Drosophila melanogaster: one gene and its partners. The protein of the gene in region 2 interacts with the protein of the main gene of each other region in a pairwise test. Each region holds a gene or a part of one and is shown on either strand. Other genes may lie near its edges. The genes, in order: CG4218, CG12728 and CG8507.

Region 1 (3,795 bases), on a different chromosome or scaffold from region 2:
AGTGTTTCTACACCCTCCTCAACCAATGTATCACTCCTTCAGTACACTGCAAAAATATAAAGCATGTGAAATTAATGTTTTAAATTATAATGCTAACCACTCTAGCTTTATATATTAATTTTACGAATTTCTTATTGATACCTAATAACCATAAGTATAACATCTAAAGTTACTTTACCAAAGTTAGCAATACAATGTGTAGAGTGACTGTAGTGACAGCTTATGTTCTGTTCTAATATGCAGTTTAAGTTATTTTTTTGAACAGTGCATCATCCGCTCTGTGTCACGACAGGGCAAGATTTATTTTCGGTATTCCATGGGCGACTAAAATGCGCTGTCAGCGCAGCAGTTGCTGCCATACGTCGCCGTCGCCCGGCTATGGTCATGCCTTGGGCTTGGGCCATATAGATACATTAGCTGATGGTGGTCCGGATCCGGACCAAGGGGACCCACAGAGCGATCGTTCCCCCTCATTGCACTTGACACTCGAAATTGATGCGCCACTGCGCCCAAGCCGGGCCACATTAATTAGGCAAAATATTGACACGCTGACGTGTGGTGTTGCCTATTGATTAACGCGTCTTTTCAATGGGATCGGTTTTATTGGATTATTTTTAGTGGGATTTTGGGGGGATTGGTTTGGCTTAGTTTGGATCTTCACTTGTGGTTTTTTGTGTGTGGTTGGCTATTGAAAAGGCCTAGTAGATGGGCTTCCTCTTCGGTGGCAGGTGGCTGGGAATCCTCATGTTGTTGGCGTTGTGAGCTGGAATTTTCTTTGTCTTCCTGCTGCCGCCGTGGAAAGGACGAAGAACGCGTATGATCAACTGCATAAATGCTCCCCAGCGCGCATGACCTAGGGTTTAGATGAGGCTTTGGATTAACCTACATGGGACTGCTCTTTTCGTGGTCTTTTGATGCCCTTACCATAGTCCTGGAAATTGCATTTCCCCTTTGCCATCTTGGTGCTGAAAACCTCTGCCTTCTTATCCACTATCTCCGAACTAGTAACCATATTCGAGAGCAGCGATTTAGATTTCTTAACCCGCGGTGTTTCAGCTACCTCAGGACTATGTTCTGGTACCACATTGCATACCTCAACGATACCAGAGTTGGTCTTCAATGGAGGACGATCCTCCGATTTCATGCCATTTGCGCTGGCGAACCGAGCACAACTCTCCGTGGACTTCTTGAGCAGAAACCAGGATTGCTGGAGAACATGACCTTCTTCGATGAGTTTCTCGTAGCCATTGAGAATGCGGCGCACATCCACGTTGATCAGTTCCTCGGGAACCTCGGGAAGATCGCCAAACTCCTGAAATCAATACAAAAAGTAAATACATAAAATAGTTGCAAAGAATATTTCAAAATTTTGTTGAGCTGCACTTTTTAGTTGCAATTGTATCAATCGACTGTCATATGAACACAACCTTTAAAGCCCTTAATCGCTTTCAGCATTCCAATAAAACATTTTTGGGTTATATACAATTTATTTAAATATTAAGTATTTCACGCTGAAAGACAATCCAGGTCTGAATCCAAAAATGTTCGTCAGTATAAATCCAATATATCCTCATATAAAAGGTTTGCAATTTTTCAAATGACAAAAGTAACACTTAAATGAACTACTTGTCAATTAAATTTTGCTATGAACGTAGTAGTTTAGGGTAATAAGATTAAGCAATAATTATTGATGGTAATGCAAACCCACCTGCGAGTTCTTCCGCAGATCTTCAAAGCGCTGAATTAGCTTCTTGATATTAAGACTGCTCTTGGAACCCTTGGTGATCCCGGCACCCACACCCGCTGTAGTATTGGTTGTCACATTTTCATCGATCGAATCGGTTGGTAATGTCTCGGATTCCGACCCATCCATACTGGAGGAGCTCATCCTGCTGAGTATCTTGGCCGTTTGCTCCATGAAGGACGCCTGGCGATCGCGTAGCTCCTGCAGTCGCATCTTCAGCTCGTCGAGGTATGCCAGCTGGCGGGGTGTGGGCTGCCTGGTTGCCATTGTCAATTTTGCTATCCCACTTTTAGATTCTTTCGAACATGTGAATGGATCCGAAAATGCTTAAGTTTTCGGTTTTTTTTTTTGGGCTATGGATACTTGTGTTGGGCTTGTCAGACCAATTGTCTCTAAATAAGAGTTTCAGTGCTTAATACTATGACTGCAAAGAGACTGACTACTCGGTTACCGGTTTTATGACAACGCCACCATAGTTTGTAACTAAGTATGCTGTGCATTGGAACCCAAGGAAGTAAGCTATAACCATTCGAATTATTTCTTAAGAGCAAAGACCCTTTTAGCGATGTAACTATTCTATCATATACGTAATTTGATGTAAAGTGGATTAGGGTATTTTTAGAGTATCGCTTGGTCGTATTTCATAAGTTTGGCTCGCTCTTTGGACATGGCCTATTACTCGCTATTTTTATGGGCCCCAAATTGAGATATCTCCTGCAATTCTGGCTGAGCTAACTAAGTTGTAACTGCCCGCTGCCTCACGAAACCGATCCCTCCCCCAACTTTCATTCGCCTGTGGTTGAACAATGGAGCGATGTGGCAAGGACAGTGGGTGCGGAGGGGCAACTCCTGATACACCTATATATCTCTGGTTTAGCGTCTTGGCTGGACTCACCTTTGCGATGCTGCGGGTGGTTGGGGCTAGTTTGGAATTTCACGGAGGAAAACGTGCCGCTGCCATCGGCTGACGCCTACAATGAAGAAAAGGGGGCGTGTCGGCCACTCTGTGACTCCCAGACTGCTGTTGATTTCCCCCGGAGGTGGATACCAACCCCTCCAGCATCCTCCTCCCATGCCAGAGAGTGTGCAATTGTTGTTTTCATATTTTAATGCCTTTTTGAGTTGGTAGGCGTGCCACGACACGATTCTTCTTACCGATAAGCTGTTATTTTTATGGGCCCCCGCCGAATCGGATCGACTTGAAGTGGAGTCGGTGGTGCAGGGTATTGCCGGGTGGAGCCGGGTGGTGCTCCGTGGTGTGCGGTGTGGGCTGGCTGCCGACTTAAAGAAGTTAAAATTATTACACCGCAATTGTCTTGATCGTTGATTTATGTGCGCTTTTGTTGTCGGCTCTCCTGGCTCGCGGCTATGGTTTTTCGCTTTTTATTACTTTTTTGAAGTTGCCAGTTGGCCAACAGGCAAATTTGTGTGGCTGTTGATATTTATTGGGCATGGTCCGGGCATTGGCATCAATTGTGTATGCAACATGGGAAGTTGATTATGCCTCTCATTAGCCACCGTATTTTTTCCTTGTGCACGAAATGGCGACAATTCCATTCCCATGGACATGAAAGTGGCCCATTTGCAGTTTACTAGCACATCGGGTTTGGATAGTAGGTAATTTATTTTGCTAGCATGTCTTTTCGATTACTAATAGTTATTAAAATTACTAAAATAGTTAAGTTAAAATAATAGATTTATTAAAGATCATATTGATCTTGACATTTTTCTTATTTGCGTGGAAGCTAAAAACAGAATTTTCAATGGGATAGCCTTCCATTTCATTTCGAATTAGTCAATGGCTCTTTTCGGCAACTTTAGGCATTCCCTAATTGAGTTCTTGATTCGGCGACTCCACTTCCTCCTCAGCGTTTTTCGGTGAATGTCTGGCCGGTGTCATAATCTCATCGCCTCCTCCGGACCAAGCCCAACCCAATGCGATCCGATCCGAGTCCCATTGTGCGACTCCAGCACGATTAAAGCCAACCGCATTTGCAGCCGCCTTCAATTGCCTGAAAACTTAATGATTTCATCTTTCATTGAATTCAAAT
Region 2 (4,787 bases):
CCGCCAGAATTCTGGGCGTCTCCTATGGCACTCTGTATGGGCGTTACCGCGAGGTCTATGGCTGCCTTAAGCATCCTTACAGGTGCGTTGAAGTGCTTCCAGTTACTGAATGTATGTAGATTTTAAATCACCGTCTTTATTACGATATAGTGGCACCGCCTTCCGGAACTCTGGATCCACCTCGACCAGTCAGATGGGAGTTCAGCCTCGCTTCGACTTGGGATTCCGCAACGGGGGCGTCCTTCCAGCTCAGCTGGGTAAGAAAGATCTACAAATGTGCTGACAAATAACCAACTTACTGGGGAATTAAGTCCAAACCAATCCCTACTTGCAGAGCTGGGCAAGCTGAAGAAGGATCTGAGCGAGCTATGGACACGTCCGCAGATTTGAGGACCAACCAATGCCACAACCATAACGAAACTGCAGAAAAGCCTCAAACGTCGCCACAGGCTGATCTAGGATTACAACAGAAGGATGAAAGACAGCTAGACGAGGCTAGTTTTGGATCCTGAGTAATGCTTTCCTGAATCCTGAATTCCCACATTAATGTGTTGTTCCCATCGGTGGGTCACAACTATAACTGATCTACACATTTAGGATCTTATTATTACATAATATATAATATAATATAAATACATGTCTATAAATACAACCACGTGGATTAGTTAATTGAAATACGCACGGACACGTGTGGTTTTAGTGGTAAATACATTTCTCTTGGTAGTGAAATTCAACACCATAAACTATGGAATCTAGTTAATCGATAAAATAACACGGAAGTGAAGTGAATTTTTTGATAAGCTAACGAAAAGGAACACAAACAATATGTATTACATACAAAAAATATATGTTTAAAACAAATAAAGTAATATCTATTAAAATATGTTCAAAACGATATCAAGTACTTCCTTTCTACGGCTCTTTGGATTCAAATTGTGGCGCCAATATAGTTGGTCACCTATACCTATTTACAGTCCGATTGAAGCCCGATACCGACGAACTGCTGCGAGCTAGAGGTGGGATGTTTTCGATGGGTTTAGAGCAAAAATTCGATACTATCGTTTTTCCTGAACGGCATTATTAACAATTTATATATTTAATGCTATAACTCAATATACAAGATATCAAAATTATTTCTTTCATTTCCTTCTAACAAGCCACGAAAAATATTAAAAATATTAAAAAACTAATTAGGGGATCAAGAATAACAGGAAAACTAAGAGATATTGACCAGGAAATCACAAAAATATTATTCTATCCATGCATTTCCTTGCAAAAAAAGTATGTCAGAATTGATCGTTTTAAGGAAAGCCCTGCGGTTACCTATTATACGTCCAGCCTACGCTCAGACTCTGTTGATGTGGCGTGAACACATAAAGGTTTAGGTACTACTTGTTTCATATTATAATAAAATAATAATATTATAATATATAATATAATGCTGTTATAAAGTATCTTTGATTTATGAATGGTTAGTTCAAATAGGTATAGAGTTACATCCCAGTTTTGTTATCTTTATACATCACCATCGTTACCGCCAAAGAACAATCGATAGATTGGTAAGAATTCGATACCTAGACGGTACTATCGATTCTTTTTCATCTCTACGGCGTGCGTCAGTGATGTTTCTTTCCTTTGATTTCTGATCCTTCTAAACGTAACTTCAAAATGCTATTGAAAGTAGTGAATATAAATGGCTTGCAGCACCTGTTCGCCTGCACTGAGGGGCAGCATGATGAAACCCTAACTATTCACGTTTTCCGTCCTCGCGAGAAGTGGACTTACTCCGAGACTTTGATGAAACGCGATTACCAGCAGCGTTTGAAAGTAAGTTTTCCGCATTTTCATGTGGTGAAATAGTGTGAGTGCAACACGTTTTTTCGACCAGACGCTCAACGCGCGTGTGAAGTTTCCCGAGGAATTGGTGCGCCAGGTCCTGCTCAACAAGGATCCATTGCATGTCGAACAGGATTACCAGCACCCATTGAACGTCCTGAAACTGAAGTATGCCATGGCGAATTTCAAAGTTTTCCTCAAGTGGGAATGGCACCTGAGACCCATGGATGCCGCACAGGTCAGTAACTGACTTTAGCAGAATCAGTTCCAAGAACTATAATAATTGGTGCCATTATTCCCAAAGTTGTATAGCCAAATGTTCTTGAACACAATGTCCACGGCTTTGGGACTACGGGTTCAGATACCCCTTCTGCTAGGGATTATCCATGCCAAGGACAAGGAGCTGAACCAGTATCGCACCGAGGGATGCCAGCTGCGCAAAGGTTAGTTAAGAGCAAGTTTGCAAATCGAAAGTTTTTGTCCATTCCATTCGCTTAGTAATCGCAAAACCTTATGCCTTCTTTAGTGACTGTGGAAACCAAGCCCTTTGATCTCGAGGCTTTTATGAATAAGCACAAGCAATTGCTGGACTGTTCCGCTGCCTACCAGAAGGCGCAGAGTACTTTTTTTGCTGATAAGCCATCGCCTAATTGGACATCGCTTTCTTCGCCATGGGCACGGGATGTCGCGCCCTATTCTTCGTCAAACGGCTACTTTGCTTCTTCGAAGGCATCAAGCCCAAAAGAAGCTCCTCGCATTAGGTGGGATTGGTACAATGTGTTCACATTTACCGATTAATAAGATATGTTTTCGCAATTGCAGGAAGCGCAAGGCTCTTGAAATCAATACCAATCATATGGAGCGCAAGGTAATGCAGCGCCGCTCCAATCCGCTTGTCGAGTACAAAAGCTCGCAGAGTTCCCAAGAGACAAACGTAAATTTAATCTTAAAAGTAGAGCTAGCGCCAATGGACACCAAGAATGATCTCACTGATGATGACGAAGAGTCATCCACATCTTCGGGGCTTTCCCAAGGATGGTCGGCCAAACTAACCAAATTTAATCCAACCGTCGGAAGTGGTGTATATGAACTTGCATCTCAGGAACAGTATGCTTCTTCTGAAGATGAGGATGCTTCTTCTAAAAATGGGGATACTTCTTCTAAATATGAGGATGCTTCTTCTAAAGATGAGGATGCTTCTTCCAAAGATGAGAATACTTCTTCTAAAGATGAGGATGCTCCGTCTAAAGATGAGGATACTTCTTCTAAAGATGAGGATGCTTCTTCTGAATATGAAGAGGTCACTAGGGAGGCATCGAACGCTTTCAATTTCGTCATAAAGAAGGTTGAATCTTTAAAAGAGTTTTACGATGCCCCAAGGGAACTCATCCAAGAACCCAAAGTCGGAAAGTCCGATCAGAATTGGGATTTAATTCTTCGAACTGTGCTGGAAGATATCAAAGCCGTACTGATTTACTCAACTGAACGCATCGAAAAAGCGATCCAGAGCTATATCAATAAGTTAGCGCAAAAATAATTTGGAAACGATCTCATTCTAAATGGTGCTACAAGCAAAACTTCACACTTAGTACATACGTTTTTTTTTTTTGTTTTTTTTTTTTTTTTTTAGATAAAAACAAGTCCTTAGTGATAAAAGGATAAAATACATGATTCCATTTGTTGATTAGGTATTCGTACCTAAGTCCATCGAACAGCAATCAAATGAAACAAAGAACTGTATAGTGTTGTAGATATTAAAAAGACGTCTTATCAAACACCCTCAGTACACGTACACAAACAAGTTGACAAACACAAATCCTCAGTGATAAAAGGATAAAGACATGATTCCATTTGTTGATTAGGTATTCGTACCTAAGTCCATCGAACAGCAATCAAATGAAACAAAACAATGTATAGTGTTGTAGATTTTAAAACGTCTTACCAAAACACCCTCAGTACACAAACAAGTTGAGTTCCATTGCATAGAAGCAGCAACTAACTCCTATCTCTATGGAACATATCGAATAATATTAAAATTTGTCAAAATGATTGCCCGGAAATTTTCTGGTCAATTATCGACCGATTAGTCAGGGCTTTCCAGCGGTTATAACCTCCTGATCAATGCATTTTATGTTAAATATTTTTTGGCACGATTACTAATAAAATTGATAAAAAAAGAAACGTTTGCAGTTTGAATAAATAATCTTTAAAGTTTGCCTTATCCCATTTGCTTTAGAAGCTTTCAGCCTTTTCAGGCTGATCTAGGATTACAACAGAAGGATGAAAGACAGCTAGACGAGGCTAGTTTTGGATCCTGAGTAATGCTTTCCTGAACCCTGAATTCCCACAATAATGTGTTGTTCCCATCGGTGGGTCACAACTATAACTGATCTACACATTTAGGATCTTATAATATATAATATAATATAAATACATGTCTATAAATACAACCGCGTGGATTAGTTAATTGAAATACGCACAGGCATTCTATCCATGCATTTCCCTGCAGAAAAAGTATTTCAGCATTGATCGTTTTAAGGAAAGCCCTGCGGTTACCTATTATACGTCCAGCCTACGCTCAGACTCTGTTGATGTGGCGTGAACACATAAAGGTTTAGGTACTACTTGTTTCATATTATAATAATATAATAACATTATAATATATAATATAATGCTGTTATAAAGTATATTTGATTTATACTTCTAATGGTTAGTTCAAATAGGTATAGAGTTACATCCCATTTTTGTTGGGAATCTTTATACATCACCATCGTTACCGCCAAAGAACAATCGATAGATTGGTAAGAATTCGATACCTAGACGGTACTATCGATTCTTTTTCATCTCTACGGCGTGCGTCAGTGATGTTTCTTTCCTTTGATTTCTGATCCTTCTAAACGTAACTTCAAAATGCTATTGAAAGTAGTGAATATAAATGGCTTGCAGCACCT
Region 3 (4,069 bases), on a different chromosome or scaffold from region 2:
TTTTCCTCTAGCTCTTGGACGCCCGAAACGTCTGGAATTCGCTGTAGCGACTCCTTTGGAACATTTCTCACGTTAATTACATTTAGCAGCATCTTTAAGTTGTCGCCCGATATGGAGTCGCCTTCGGGCGCCCGTGCATTAATGGACTGGTGAATCGTTGGTGTCCCTTGTGGCGCTGGCTTGTGTAAAAGTGACGCCCATGCTCGGGGGCTTAAAATGTATTTAAAGCACAGCTTTATGGTGTAACCCACTAAAAACACCAAAAGGACTGGTGCAAGGAGGTTATACGGGAAGGATAATCCGGCTATGGGTAAATATGGTAATTAAGTGGTAAGTGGTAATTATTGACTGTGCGAATTCTTGGTTAAATACTTACAGGACAGTTTAGTCATAGTTACCGACACCTTTTCTATCATGATTTCCAACTGCTTGATAAATATGTTATTCATGTACATAAAGAACACTTGATCTGGCATGCAAATGGAAATGCTGATTTTTGCGGATTTTCTGAATGGAAACGATCATCAATCGACTTATTTAATTATATGTTATGGTCTTACTTGATCATTTCTATCTTCTTAGTTTTTGGTGAGGCTTGGTATATGTAGCCTAACAGTCGACCAAACCAGGACGATTCAGGCTCATGGTGATGATTTACGACCTCTATCATCCTATCGATGTCTAATTCCTAATTATAAACATATAATGAGCACAATTTCACACACTTTCAGGCTAGACCTACTCTGTTGCATTCTAAATAAGTCTGAATATATCCGCACAGAAACACGCCTCCTAGTACAATTGAAATTAGTCCGACACGGAAACGTTTGTGCACAATGACGACAAGTGCAATTGCTAATGTTGCATATAGGATAAATTTCACCTAGGAATGAGAAAACCCATTAAATAGCAAATAGTCAAGTTTCCATAAAAAGGCGCAACAGGTACCTCGGTCGTTTGCGTCAGTTCAATTACATCCTTGAAAATATCCACCAATAAGGAGAAAAAGCCGTGTCGGACGTATGAGCATCCGGATCTTCCATTAAACAAAGGAGCCTCCTCGGCACTCTCCAATATCTTAGTCAGCAAAACGTCCAAATCCCGAGCATCCTGCACCCTCTCCAGTTCATCCAGTTGCGATGGGATCAGGGAGAAGAGCAGCGATCGCTTATGGACCGCCGACATAACATCGTACTAATTACACAAAAGTTACACACATATGACGTCATGTCGCCAACTTTGGTCTAAACAGCGATCATACCTGAAAACGCTTGCGCTGGAACAGCAGATTGACGAACTTCTTGAAGTATGTGAGTGCCACGGCATCCTCCATGGCCACTGGAGACACATCTGGACACGTAGGACACTGGCACAATTCACCGGGCTGATTGATATCGTTAACCAGGTCCGACCAGGCGGGATCCGGACTCAGCCAGGACTCATCGTTGCCGCTCTGACAGCATACCCTGTGCAATACCAACAGGAAACAACTGACCGCTGCCTCCGTTCTCATTGTCCTGGTTTCTCAATGTAATCACTCCTAGGTAGTAAGCACTCGATAATAATTATAATTCAGCGCAATTTCGTGGTAAGGCGGCTGATGCAAATTGGCAGTGTGACCAAGTCCAGTTAGCAACATCACAGCGTCACGTCAGTGCTGCAATATCTACTTATCACTTCAGGAAAATGTAGCTTTATATTTATTAGACAAACATGCTTTTATGATTTTTCTTCACTTCTACTGCAAATTGAATTATTTTTATTAAACATCTTTATCAAATAAATCAAACAAATTGTTGTAAATTGACCAAGATCAAAAATCGTAACTGCGAAAAACAAAGCATTAAAATAAAATAAAAGCTAGACTGTCAGCACCAAAGCTTTATGCGATCGCTAGATGGCCACACTGCGTGTTGTGAATAACTGTTTAGCCAGGTCAGCACTGCACCAATAATTGCAAGCTTTAAAACCGAAATAAAAACCACGAGGAAAATGGTTAGGTCAGCTCTCGTTGTTGCAGCCATCGCACTTTCCGTACTTATTGCACTGCAGGGCGTGGATGCCGACAAAAAGCAGAGCAAGAAGTACAGCAAGGAGGCCAACGACCCGCATTTTCAGCAAGTAAAGCAGGAGAAGTATGATCCGGATTTTAAGAGCATCCAGCGGCCATTTCGCATGGCCAAGTTGAATCTCGTGTGGGCCAAGGCGCAGAATGTAAGTGGACACCATAAGATATCTCATATTTAACCGTACTAACCTCGGTTACAGCGCTTAACAGAGCCCAAGCTCAAGTCACTGTACATGGAACTCAAGATCCACGATAAGGAGGAGATCGCTTGGAAGCAGCTCAACTCGCAGCACAAGGACAAAGACGGGCTGAAGGCCGACGAACTGCGCCGCAAGCTCATTGGCATCATGAGCAGCTACGATCTGCTAGAGCATTTTGACGACACTCAGGATACGGAGAAGCTTAAGCCCTACAAGGTACGTATCTAAATCATCTTTCCTAAGAGCAAGAGTTTCTCTACATCCAAGTTAACTTTAAGAAATTCCACGACGCCGAGGAGCGACACAGAAACAAGAGTCTTTTCAAGGACAAGAAACTCAACCGACTTTGGGAGAAGGCCGAGATTTCCGGATTTACTGCAGAGGAATTGAAATCCTTGAAACAGGAGTTTGACCATCACCAGGATAAAGTGGATGTGTACTACAGCTTGCTGGAAAACATTGGCACCGTAGACACCGACAAGCATGAAAGTGAGTTTGGCTAAAAACAGCACGAAAAGCATCAATTAATTTCATTGATTATTCTCGTTAGATGCTATTAACACGGAAGACTTGGACACCTACAATCTGATTTCGAATGATGTCAATGAGAACGACATCAAAACCCATGCGCAAAACGTGAAGAGTTTCGAGAACGACCTTAACACTCTGCGAGGACATCACACGGGCATCAAGGATCACTACGATAGGCTGGAACGCCTGGTGTCCTCCGGTCCACACAGTCAGGACTTCATTGAACCCAAGGTCCAGGGTCTATGGCGAGTGGCCCAGGCTAGCAATTTTACGGTTAAAGAACTGGAGTCCATTAAAACCGAATTGCATCACTTCGAAAGTCGCCTATTAAAGCTGCGTCACTTGCATGCCGAGCATGCTTTGCAAAAGGAGAAATACAAGGTATATGTTTCTTAATATCAATCAAGTTTGTAAGCCAACTAACAATTATTTATAGGGCGAAAAAGTGAAGGACAAAAGCAGCCGCTTTGAGGAAATGGAGGATCAGCTGAAGAAGCAAACTCGCAAAGTGGAGAAGCTCCAGGAGAACATTGAAAAAACCATCTTCAAGCACACCGAGCTTTAATAATTTGAAAGTGAAACACTGAAAGTGCCAAGCGAATAAATTAGATTTAATTGCAACTGTTTGTGTAACGCACAAAAATATTCATTCTTGCTGCTATTCAGCATAGATATAATTTTGATACCAAATATCATTTGAACATAAATAAAATCTCAAGTTTAATTTTGAACTATATACAATCTATTTTGACCTTTAAAAAATTCAATGTGGAAAAAATAAATTTGTAATATATTCAAAGTACAATATAGGGTTAAGAATAAACCGTTAAAAAAAACGATAAAATTAGTGTGACCATATGATAGCAGGCACAAAACGCGTATTTCCCTCCACCCAGTAGGACCGCACCTAGTATGACCGCATGCCAGTCGCATTATTGTTGTTGTCGTTTCGTTTGGTGGGCCAAAAAACAAGAAAATATTAGCTAAGCGAAAAGTTTAAAAAGTTAATATATATATGTGCAGCGGTCGGTGCCAGCGCTTTATGGGTACATAGTGCATATGTACACACACCGACATGGGCATGGTGGAGGCGTCGACGTCGGAACTGCACCTGGAGGCCCCAAATTCGTACACGTACCTCCTGGCGACCGTCAGCCTGACGCTCACTTTCATCGTTATGCTGGGCGCTTGTCTCTGCTGCAAGAAGCGGATCCCTAAGTAAGTCCTCCCCAATACCCAGAGGATCAGAGGATCCACATCGTTTCGATGG

Evidence for each region.
Region 1: the proteins of CG12728 (region 2) and CG4218 interact in a two-hybrid assay, tested with the Drosophila melanogaster proteins (one large-scale study listed by BioGRID).
Region 3: the proteins of CG12728 (region 2) and CG8507 interact in a two-hybrid assay, tested with the Drosophila melanogaster proteins (one large-scale study listed by BioGRID).

Annotation. Positions count from the first base shown.
Region 1 is NT_033779.5:14,546,943-14,550,737, forward strand, and holds CG4218 (uncharacterized protein), read right to left. Parts: upstream 2,168-3,795; 5' UTR 2,012-2,167; coding exon 1,709-2,011; intron 1,644-1,708; coding exon of another isoform or gene 1,623-1,643; exon of another isoform or gene 1,473-1,622; intron 1,313-1,472; coding exon 925-1,312; intron 871-924; coding exon of another isoform or gene 854-870; coding exon 699-853; 3' UTR 556-698; downstream 1-555.
Region 2 is NC_004354.4:5,941,015-5,945,801, forward strand, and holds CG12728 (uncharacterized protein), read left to right. Parts: upstream 1-1,591; 5' UTR 1,592-1,668; coding exon 1,669-1,827; intron 1,828-1,888; coding exon 1,889-2,074; intron 2,075-2,140; coding exon 2,141-2,279; intron 2,280-2,362; coding exon 2,363-2,597; intron 2,598-2,658; coding exon 2,659-3,373; 3' UTR 3,374-4,236; downstream 4,237-4,787. Other genes in the region: CG3726 (uncharacterized protein), read left to right, coding at 1-82, 151-257, 335-390; CG32756 (uncharacterized protein), read left to right, coding at 4,747-4,787.
Region 3 is NT_033777.3:9,789,578-9,793,646, forward strand, and holds CG8507 (uncharacterized protein), read left to right. Parts: upstream 1-1,905; 5' UTR 1,906-1,992; coding exon 1,993-2,214; intron 2,215-2,268; coding exon 2,269-2,484; intron 2,485-2,546; coding exon 2,547-2,757; intron 2,758-2,818; coding exon 2,819-3,180; intron 3,181-3,235; coding exon 3,236-3,364; 3' UTR 3,365-3,521; downstream 3,522-4,069. Other genes in the region: CG12945 (uncharacterized protein), read right to left, coding at 1-304, 377-507, 561-688, 743-883, 949-1,194, 1,262-1,513; CG8516 (uncharacterized protein), read left to right, coding at 3,875-4,017.